2 linked regions of the Nothobranchius furzeri genome follow. The protein of the gene in region 2 interacts with the protein of the main gene of each other region in a pairwise test. Links are inferred from orthologs where the notes say so. Each region holds a gene or a part of one and is shown on either strand. Other genes may lie near its edges. The genes, in order: rasa1a and dlc1.

Region 1 (4,345 bases), on a different chromosome or scaffold from region 2:
CCCCCCCCCCCCCCCCCCCCACACACACACACACACACAATGTGGCTTTGCATCTAAACCTTTTAGCTTGATGTAGATATTCAGTTTCTGTTAAAGCCTTATGGGTACTTTCCCACACACTTCACATAGCTCACTGATAACTAAATATCTTAAAATAGATGTGGTTCAGTCTTATTCATCACCACAACAGCAGCAAAAAAGTCACAAAGCAAAAAACAAAATGTGTGTGACCTCTTTGGGTCTTGCTGAAGTTTAATAAAGGGTCTAAATGAGCCTGAGTTGCAGCTAAAGACCTGGGATGAGTCATTTGCTTCATCACTTTATGAAGAATTCACATTGATACTGACATACTTTCTCATATTTCTAAATTAAAACAATGTTGTTTCACTAAGCCTTGTGAAGGGCAGCAAACTGATAAACTAGTACTAACCCACAAAGTCTGTAAACCTTTGACAAAAGTCAACAGCAGCAACAACACACAAGATTGGTAAAATGCTTGGCCTTCCAGCTCCTCTGCAGCCTGACAGTGAGATATAGAGTAGCTCTTAAATAAGAGCTGAATCCACAGTCACTTCCATATTTCACAAAATGAGCTAAAAATGGGAGAGCTCAGCAGTTCTCTAATGACGCTGAAACCAATGGGAGGGATGAATTTAGAGTCTGTAAGTGCTAGCATGTGCATGGATTTTGACATGTGCTTGTTTGCATACCAACGCTGCAGATCTGATGCTGGAATCAAAAAGGCTTTGCAAATACCTTACACTTGAAATAAAAACCTAATTTAATTAGTCTGTTTTGTTGAAGGACTTCAAAGATTACTTCAGTAAACAATGGTGCAAACAAAGTAAAGGCTTTTTTCTTGGAAAACCATTTCTACTTCTAATGTAACAGATAAAGCATTTGTATATGTATAGATTATTGATAAGACACAAAGTTTGTAAAAAAATGTATTGGGTATTCAAGCATATGCAATAGTACAAAAAAGACAGTGTGGCTGTATTTTAAGGTTGGGGTGATATATATAAAACTTTCCAAGCGATATTTGTCAGTCCAAAAAATGAAGAGGGGCGATATATTCGTGCAGGACACGTTTAGACGTCATGTGGTTTGTTGGCACACTGCGTGGATTGCCCCACCAATCACAATCATTCTTACTCAGTTTGCAAAAGCAAGCCACGAGGGTTCCACATGACACTTTGCTGTTTTTCCAATTCCACTGGCTATTTGATGAGTCAATCAATTATAAACTGTGATAACAGAGGACGCCACCATGAGAATCGCAGAAGAGCCCACAGTGTGATCAAATTAATTTACTTAAAAATTAAGTGGCTAAGAAAGTGCACAGCATAGGAGCATTTAAAACTTGGTAGTTAACAAAATAAGGTCAACATCAAAGCGCTGTGCCTGAAAAAACATGGAGATAAAGCCACGTAGAAAAATGAAACAAGACCAGAAACAGGTCAGTGCCATGACTCCTGCTTTGTGACAGCTTGGTGTCTGCCTCCTCTAGTTTGTTTGGTAAATTAAAGAAACTTTGAGTAATAATTTAGTTGAACGTAAGGAGCCTAAAGTGTTCTTTAAAAGTGTGGCCTCCAGAATGCGATGATAAGCAGTGTTGTAATGCCGGATCTCCCTTTCAATGTTGATTTCTGAATGATTGATAGTCTTTTTTTTTTGTCGTTTGCTGGTTCTTTCCTTTATAGCAACTGTTTCAACTCTTTGGATGTAAATGTCTACTTATCATGTTTATTAATATGCAGATATCAAAAGCCACTCCCAAACCGAAATGGCTACATTTCTGCATCAGTGATTATATAAATATGCTATTTTTCATCATATTAAGCTAAATTGCAAATCACTAAATATCAGTTAATGATTGAGACACAAGTGAGGCTAAATGAATGAAGCATAATATGCTAGAGCCTTTTCCCCTGCTGGATGCTACTATCAAAATGTCTAAAAGTTTTAATATAAAAATTACAATTGCATGAATCTTTTATGCTTTTTTGGATCATCTGGACTGCTTAGTTTTGTTTTGGGTGAGTCTTGTTTCTGATATGCAAAACTAAAAGTTAAAAGAAATATTTGGGTGCAAAAATATATAGTTTCCACACCAACTTTTGGCAGAAAATAAGTAAACATACGCTTCTGCACACGTCAGGAGCACAACAGCAGGAAGGAAGGAAGCCTTAAAAACTACAGGATACTTTAAAATTGTAGTTTTTAAGTTCCAATGAACAGGACGTCGTTTTTCTTGTGCTACTTACTGGTTTGTGGGAGGTGCAGAGAGCGGAAACTCCACCTCGTCGTCATCCTGTTCCGGCAAATCCTGTATGTCGCTTTCATCCATGGTGCCGCCGAGACCCCCGCAGCCCAAAGAAGCAGGAGGTGGCGGCAGTGGAGGAAAGAGAGCGGGGTCATCCGGACCTGATGATGTGGGTGAAATCTGGCTAGTTGGTGCCTCCGAGTTAGAAGAGTAGCACATGCCGCCCACTGTCCCGGAGTTTGTTCCTAGAAAACCATAATGTCCACCTTCTTTTCCGCTACTCCCTGGTGCGGGCAACACTGGTCCCGTCATATCCCCACCATGCATGGGATAGCCCACATTAATGACAGAAAGTGAGTCCGGAGAGGTGTTTGAATGCTGCCGAACGGCTGACGATGTTGGCCCTGGTCCCGGATCACTCACTCGCACTCGGCTCGACTTCGGATAGAGGGAGAAAGGGGCCGTCTCGGGGCCTCCTCCTCCGCCTGCCACCCCTGTCCCTGTCGTGACCGAACTCGTGTCTTCACTGCTGACCTCTGCAGCCATCATGTTAAAAACTACGCAGAGGGGAAAAAGTCCAGAAGGGAACCTGCCCTTCCCCTCCGTTCTCAGACTATTCCGTCAGTGTTCGGGCTACGGAGGAACAACACGAAAAAGTTTCCCAAAACCGCGACTAGCTAGACGGCTAACATTAGCCAACAGCTAACTTAGCTTTACAACACATTCGCTCGCCACAAGACAGCCGAGCTAACACTAGCAGCTCTGAAACACTTGATGAGTTCTTGTTGGCTAGGTTTTCATTGTTTCCTGTGTTTAAAGTTCACATATGAACGCTAGTTAAAAATTTAACATGCGTACATTTTCTCGAATGTTTGTTTTCAGATTTTTACGTATATTTTGGGTCCTCACCCTCAGCACCAGACAAACCACTTGTCGACGAGTCTTGTTTTATTGTCACTGTTGAGCGTAATCCCGTCTCTTTTCCAGTGTTGTTGTTTTCTTTCGTTCCGAGTTCGGTGTCTCAACAAGATACCGCAAACAATCGAACCTTGTCTATTACATTCTTGGAATGATTCGCCATTCTATAAAAACAACAATTCTACTGAATAAAGTATTTTTTTCCTTAAGTACACTGGCTAAGTTCGCTTCTATTTTCAGGGGTGGTAGCTTCTACTCCACTTCAGTGCTCCGTTGCTTTTCTCTCCTCCGTCGGACTCGGCTCCACTCACCGAGCAGACGCAGCTAATAGAACAAAGAGCGGAACGACGCTGATCCATGCCATCGTCAATCGTTTTTGTGAACTTGATTAAAAACTGGATGATTGTCTTGGTAAATCAACAAAAACACAAAAAAGTGCTTTGCGTTGTACAATAGGAAAAATCACAAAGGGTCTCCCCAGGTGGATGTTCATATCAATTGATATATTTTAATATTTAATGTAAAAAATTGTACTATATATATATATATATATATATATATATATATATATATATATATATATATATATATATATATATATATAGGCCCTTTTGAGCAGAACAAATAAAAAATATTAAATAATGTTTTAATTCTTAAAAATATTGTTGAATTTTTTTGGCCCGTGAGGAGTTTTAACCAATAGGCCATCTTCTTGAAAAGTTTGGGCATCCCTGACATGGACCAATGTTCCTCTAATGAACTTGATGTATAGTAAATGTTTAGAATTTCATTTAAAATGTTAAAACATTATCTTGTAATCACTAGTTGATTGTTCTCCTCTGTTGAGAAATCAATCCTCACTTTTGTATAAAATGTAGGTTTTTTTTCCTCCAATCTTGTATTTTTGTTATTTTTTATTCATAAATGGAGCTTTTTGTCATGACGACAGACAATGTTTGTTTGTTTTTCCAAATTATCAGCAAAACTCACTTATTGATCATTACAACCACATCAACCCATTATCCCATGAGGATGATCTTGGCTATCTCATGATAATAAGACAGTTAATTTATAATCTCAAAAAAGCAGTGGTTCAAGTGGCGGTTCTTGGCTTTTATACAGATTAGAAAGAAAATTTGTCATTTCCAGACAATCATCTGT
Region 2 (4,363 bases):
TCCAAACTCCCTCTGTCTCTGCAGCCTGCATGCCCTTATAGGACCTTGTTTTCCAATGAGTTGTTGAGGAAGGGTAGAACATTTCACAGACACCCCCCACCCCCAACCAGCTCTGGAAGCATGTAAGCAAGAAGTCGACGTTTTCCACGACACTAGCCAGAATGGGCCCAATAATTTTGTGCTAAAGCCTTCAGCGATATCGCTTTGACAAACGTGTGGCTTCACAATCACAGTTGCTACAGTAACCAGAGCTGCTACTGTTTCTACAACTTCATCATATTTGGTCTTACCTTCCTCATGCGCACTTTGACTGTGCTATCTTCCTTCTGATCTCCAGACTCGTGTGCTCCACTGAAACCTGAACCGGACATGTGTGTGTCGTTAACAGCTGACGATGAGGTACCATCCACCTCCTCCATTGCAGAAACCATGGGTTCCCCTTGCCTGTGGTGTTCGCTGTGACCATCTGCAACCCCTGAAGCCGGTGACTCATGGATGTAATGGTCTGAGGTTTGGTTGTGACGGTGCTCCTGGCTGACCTCTTTAGAGTCTGTCGGCAGGCTCTCCCCTTGTTGCTCAGTAGTCCCGAGTCCATCACCCAAAAGGGAGTCATAAAAATGAACATCTGTATTGTTTAGAGGTTCTTGCAAAGCGGTTTCTTTGACCTCAAAAATGCTGATCTCTAAGATGGTCTCCAGTTTGGAACTGTCATTTTCCGTAGGATGCTCCTCGTCAGCTAACAATCCCTGATCCGTGCTTTCCGTTGATTTACTTGTTTTCACGTGATGATGTTCACGTCGAACAGTGCTTGTCTGCATGGCATCTGCTTCTGTATATCCAGCTACAAGCTGCTTTTCTGTCAAAGAGCTCCTCGGGTTTTTACCTCTGGCATCCAGAGTGTCAGCGAGCTCCTGCTTCACATGCGCTGCGTCCTCGCTCCTCTCCTCTTGTGAACTTTCCCCACCATGAGGCCAGCTCCCTGCTGTCGTTTCAACATTGTGCTGCTCTGTCAATGTTTGGCAAAATATTTCACAATTACCCTGATTCAACCCCTCAGTGGGTTGATAATAATCCCTCTGCCCTTGAGCATTTCTTGAGTGATGGCTCAGTCCTGTGTTTTCATTTTTATTCAGTCCATCCAGCTTGTGAGCTGAGACTTTGTCATGTTTTCCATCCTCTGAAATGGTCACAACCGGTTTAAAGGATTCGTTTGGCAGTGACGTTGCATTGCTACCCTCCATTTTGTTAGCAGATTCTTGCTGCGCAAGAACAGGTCCTCCTGCAACAGGTCGCTCCGAAGTGGAAACGGTTCCTTCAGCAACATCTGGGCAATGAGTTTGAGGTTCCAGCTCGGCAGCCGAGGAATAGTTCAGTGTGGCCTCAGAGATTCCAGGGGATCTGCTGTGACCCTTTGTATGGCTCTCCTTTGTCGCCTGATAGTTTGGAAGGCTGCCAGGCCGTTCACCCGCAGATCCGGACAATGGAGGCTCCTTGTTTGAACAGATAGAGATGTATTGTTGCTCTTCGTCGGAGACGTGTTGGCTTTTAAAGACAATGTCGTCACTGCAGATGTGACTCTGGCTACATTCTGTGCCAGTGTCACTTTCGTAATAAAGAGTTGTCTCAGTCCGATCATGAGGATCAGTTGTGTGCGGGGTATTAACACCGGAGAGCTGATCGTTGGAGTAGCAGCAGACTCCAGAAGCGGTTGGGAGATGCTCCGGGTCCGAGGGAATGTTTGAGACTTCGTTCCCCAACAACTCACGAGACTCACAAACCGACTCTTGCAAATCCAGGGAGGTGTTTCCTCCCAACTTTAAAGGTTCTGATTCTGCAACATCATCAACAACAGAAGTTGCCTTTAGAGATGTCTGACCAACGCCCTCCGTGGACACCTGGCTGCCCTCTGGCATAGAGGCACATCTCATCCGGCGACCTTGCTTCAGAGCTCCCGAGTCAATCCAAACCCCCTCACTGTCAGCTCCATGACAGCACACCAGATCCAGATCATCATAACTGTACTTCAAGCCGGATGGATGAGTCACGTGTTCCTCCCAGCTTCTTTTCCGTATGGCAACCAGCATGGTGGAAACCCAGTTCTATCCAATGGAGCTGCCGTTTAAGCCGGGCTCGATCAGAGAACCAGATCTGCTGTAATTAAAGGAGAAACCAGAGTAAGAAATGTCAGTTTACAGGAAGTGAATTCAAGGATGAAGACGTGGTAAATAATCTGCTTCTCCTGCTGACAGGAAGTTGTGGGTGAAAGAGCAAGAGGGTGGCAATTAGTCGGTTGGATCAGTTTCAATCAAGAACTCGTGCTGAAATGATCTCATGTTGGAAACAAATGTATTTTCAAGCTGTGTCATTCAGATTTTCACATCAACTAAACATAAAGCAATAACAGCTAAGCATCTTCATGGGAGAAAGGACATTTTTTAGCTATATTAACAAGATCGTCATCAAAACTTAATAAGTTGTTCCTGTTTACCCAATGAAACAGGGAGAAAAGTACTCATGATGCAAAAGTCGCATCATTTAAGATATGAAAAAGTCAGAAGTAAAGAAAAATACAGGGAGTCATTAAATGTAAATTTTACATTTAAAATGAGGATTACATTAGACCTGGTTCACGGGAAGGACTTAACATGTGTGTAACTAGTAACAACCTCCTTTTTAACATCATAGCTTGAAATCAAAAAGGGTTTCACTTGGATCCACGCTGAGCTGCTTTCCAAAAACAAATTCTTAGAAAGCAGAAGAGCCGAAGAGGATCTTCTCTCGCTAGCTGGCCCAAAACCAACAGCTGACAGCAGAACTTACTTTCATCACGTACGTCACACTGGAATGCTATTTACTTTCTGTAAATCCTCCAACAACCACAGCTTAAATTATAATCCACTATCAGATTACTGTGATCATCCAGCAGCTGAACAAATATTCCAGGAAACGAGCACAAAGTCCAGAGATGTTCTGCAGGTTGGCCTCTTCTCCATCAGTCAGATGAAATTCGTTCACATGCGTAAAATGCGAGTTCGAGTCTCTCCAAGTGCCCGTTCACGATGAAATCAGTGCTTTAGTTTAAATGTGTGACTCGTCTTCAAGACTCCAGTCTGTCTATTCCGTTCTAAACCAGCTGTGAAGCCTTAAAGCCGGGCAGAAAGCCGGGAAAAGTCCGTGGACCACTTCCATCTTGATCACATTAGGCTTTTTGCTGACACTGAATGCCGAAGAGTGGAGGTGGTGCAAAGAGAGGCTGGGTTTTCTTTTCCCCCACTCCACCCCTTCTCTCTGCTCATCTGGTCTCCTCCCTGCTGCCTCTGACAGGGAGTGTGATTCACATCACAGGAACCCCAGCCCCCGTCTCACAAGTTAAACTCGTATCCGTGCCAACTTTCTCTAACGTACAATCTTTCCTCGATGCTTAGAAGGCAACGCTTATCCCCTTCTTAAACGTGTTTTCTTTCCTCTTCTCAGTTTTTCTTTCTTCCTTCTGCTTTTGCTCCACTAACTGGGCAAGGCTCCCACCAGTTTGGTTTAGATTGGTAACAGACTGGCTGCCTCGTAAGATTTCTGGCTTCATGCCAGCAGAGATTGCTCTAATGTTTTGGCAGCTACATCCAAAAACCTGCTTTTATCCCTCTTTCTTTTTTTCCAATTTGTCATCTTGTAACGGTACAAGTATTCCTAACCAAACACACTGGCAACGAAGAAAACTATGCAGGGCGAGACTTGTCTGCTGATAATCTGAGGACACGTTTGACAAATGTTGTCAAAGGTTTATCTCTGCTATAAAGTGTTGTTTGAAAAATGAGGACAACTTTACAAGTGGTCTCTGGTAGGACTCAATGCTTGTAAGTAGTGCTCTAGGGAAGTAAAGCTCTGACGCACCTGTTTCAGGAACTAGAAGTGAGCCAGATCAGAGGAAAGCTTCAGACAACAAGATTCGGAGTCTTATTTTCTGATATTTGGACATTTTGCCTCTGATTGGCTAACAGCATCGTGACTCTACCACTGACTGTTTTCTTCGCAACGCTGATGTTTTATCTCCGCAAATAACGCAAGCCTGGAGGAGTTCTGCTGTGTGGTGGAGTTGCTAATGCTAACTGTTAGCTCCTACTATCTGAGACGTTCTCTGCCGTTTGCTGGACGTTAAACCAACAACAGCATTCCCCTTCGTAAGCCGAGATGGGTGAGTCCATGAACGTTAAGTGACAATGTGACGTAGATCTGTTGGGATTTTCAAAGACTTGAGGTTTTTTCATCTATTTTCTTTCAGAACCTAATGCAGGAGACTAGTTTCACCATGTTAATCTCAGAGTGATCGATCATTTTCAAAATTATTACGGAAAAATGGTTTTTCGTT

The links.
Region 1: the proteins of dlc1 (region 2) and rasa1a interact in binary tests that used the Homo sapiens proteins (3 or more experiments, as listed by UniProt). The link is inferred for Nothobranchius furzeri from reciprocal best matches to the Homo sapiens genes DLC1 and RASA1.

The regions. Positions count from the first base shown.
Region 1 is NC_091757.1:43,357,954-43,362,298, forward strand, and holds the start of rasa1a (ras GTPase-activating protein 1), read right to left. Parts: upstream 3,047-4,345; 5' UTR 2,816-3,046; coding exon 2,268-2,815; intron 1-2,267. UniProt on the Homo sapiens protein: Inhibitory regulator of the Ras-cyclic AMP pathway. Stimulates the GTPase of normal but not oncogenic Ras p21; this stimulation may be further increased in the presence of NCK1.
Region 2 is NC_091746.1:77,702,899-77,707,261, forward strand, and holds the start of dlc1 (rho GTPase-activating protein 7), read right to left. Parts: upstream 3,050-4,363; 5' UTR 2,821-3,049; intron 2,152-2,820; 5' UTR 2,085-2,151; coding exon 291-2,084; intron 1-290. UniProt on the Homo sapiens protein: Functions as a GTPase-activating protein for the small GTPases RHOA, RHOB, RHOC and CDC42, terminating their downstream signaling.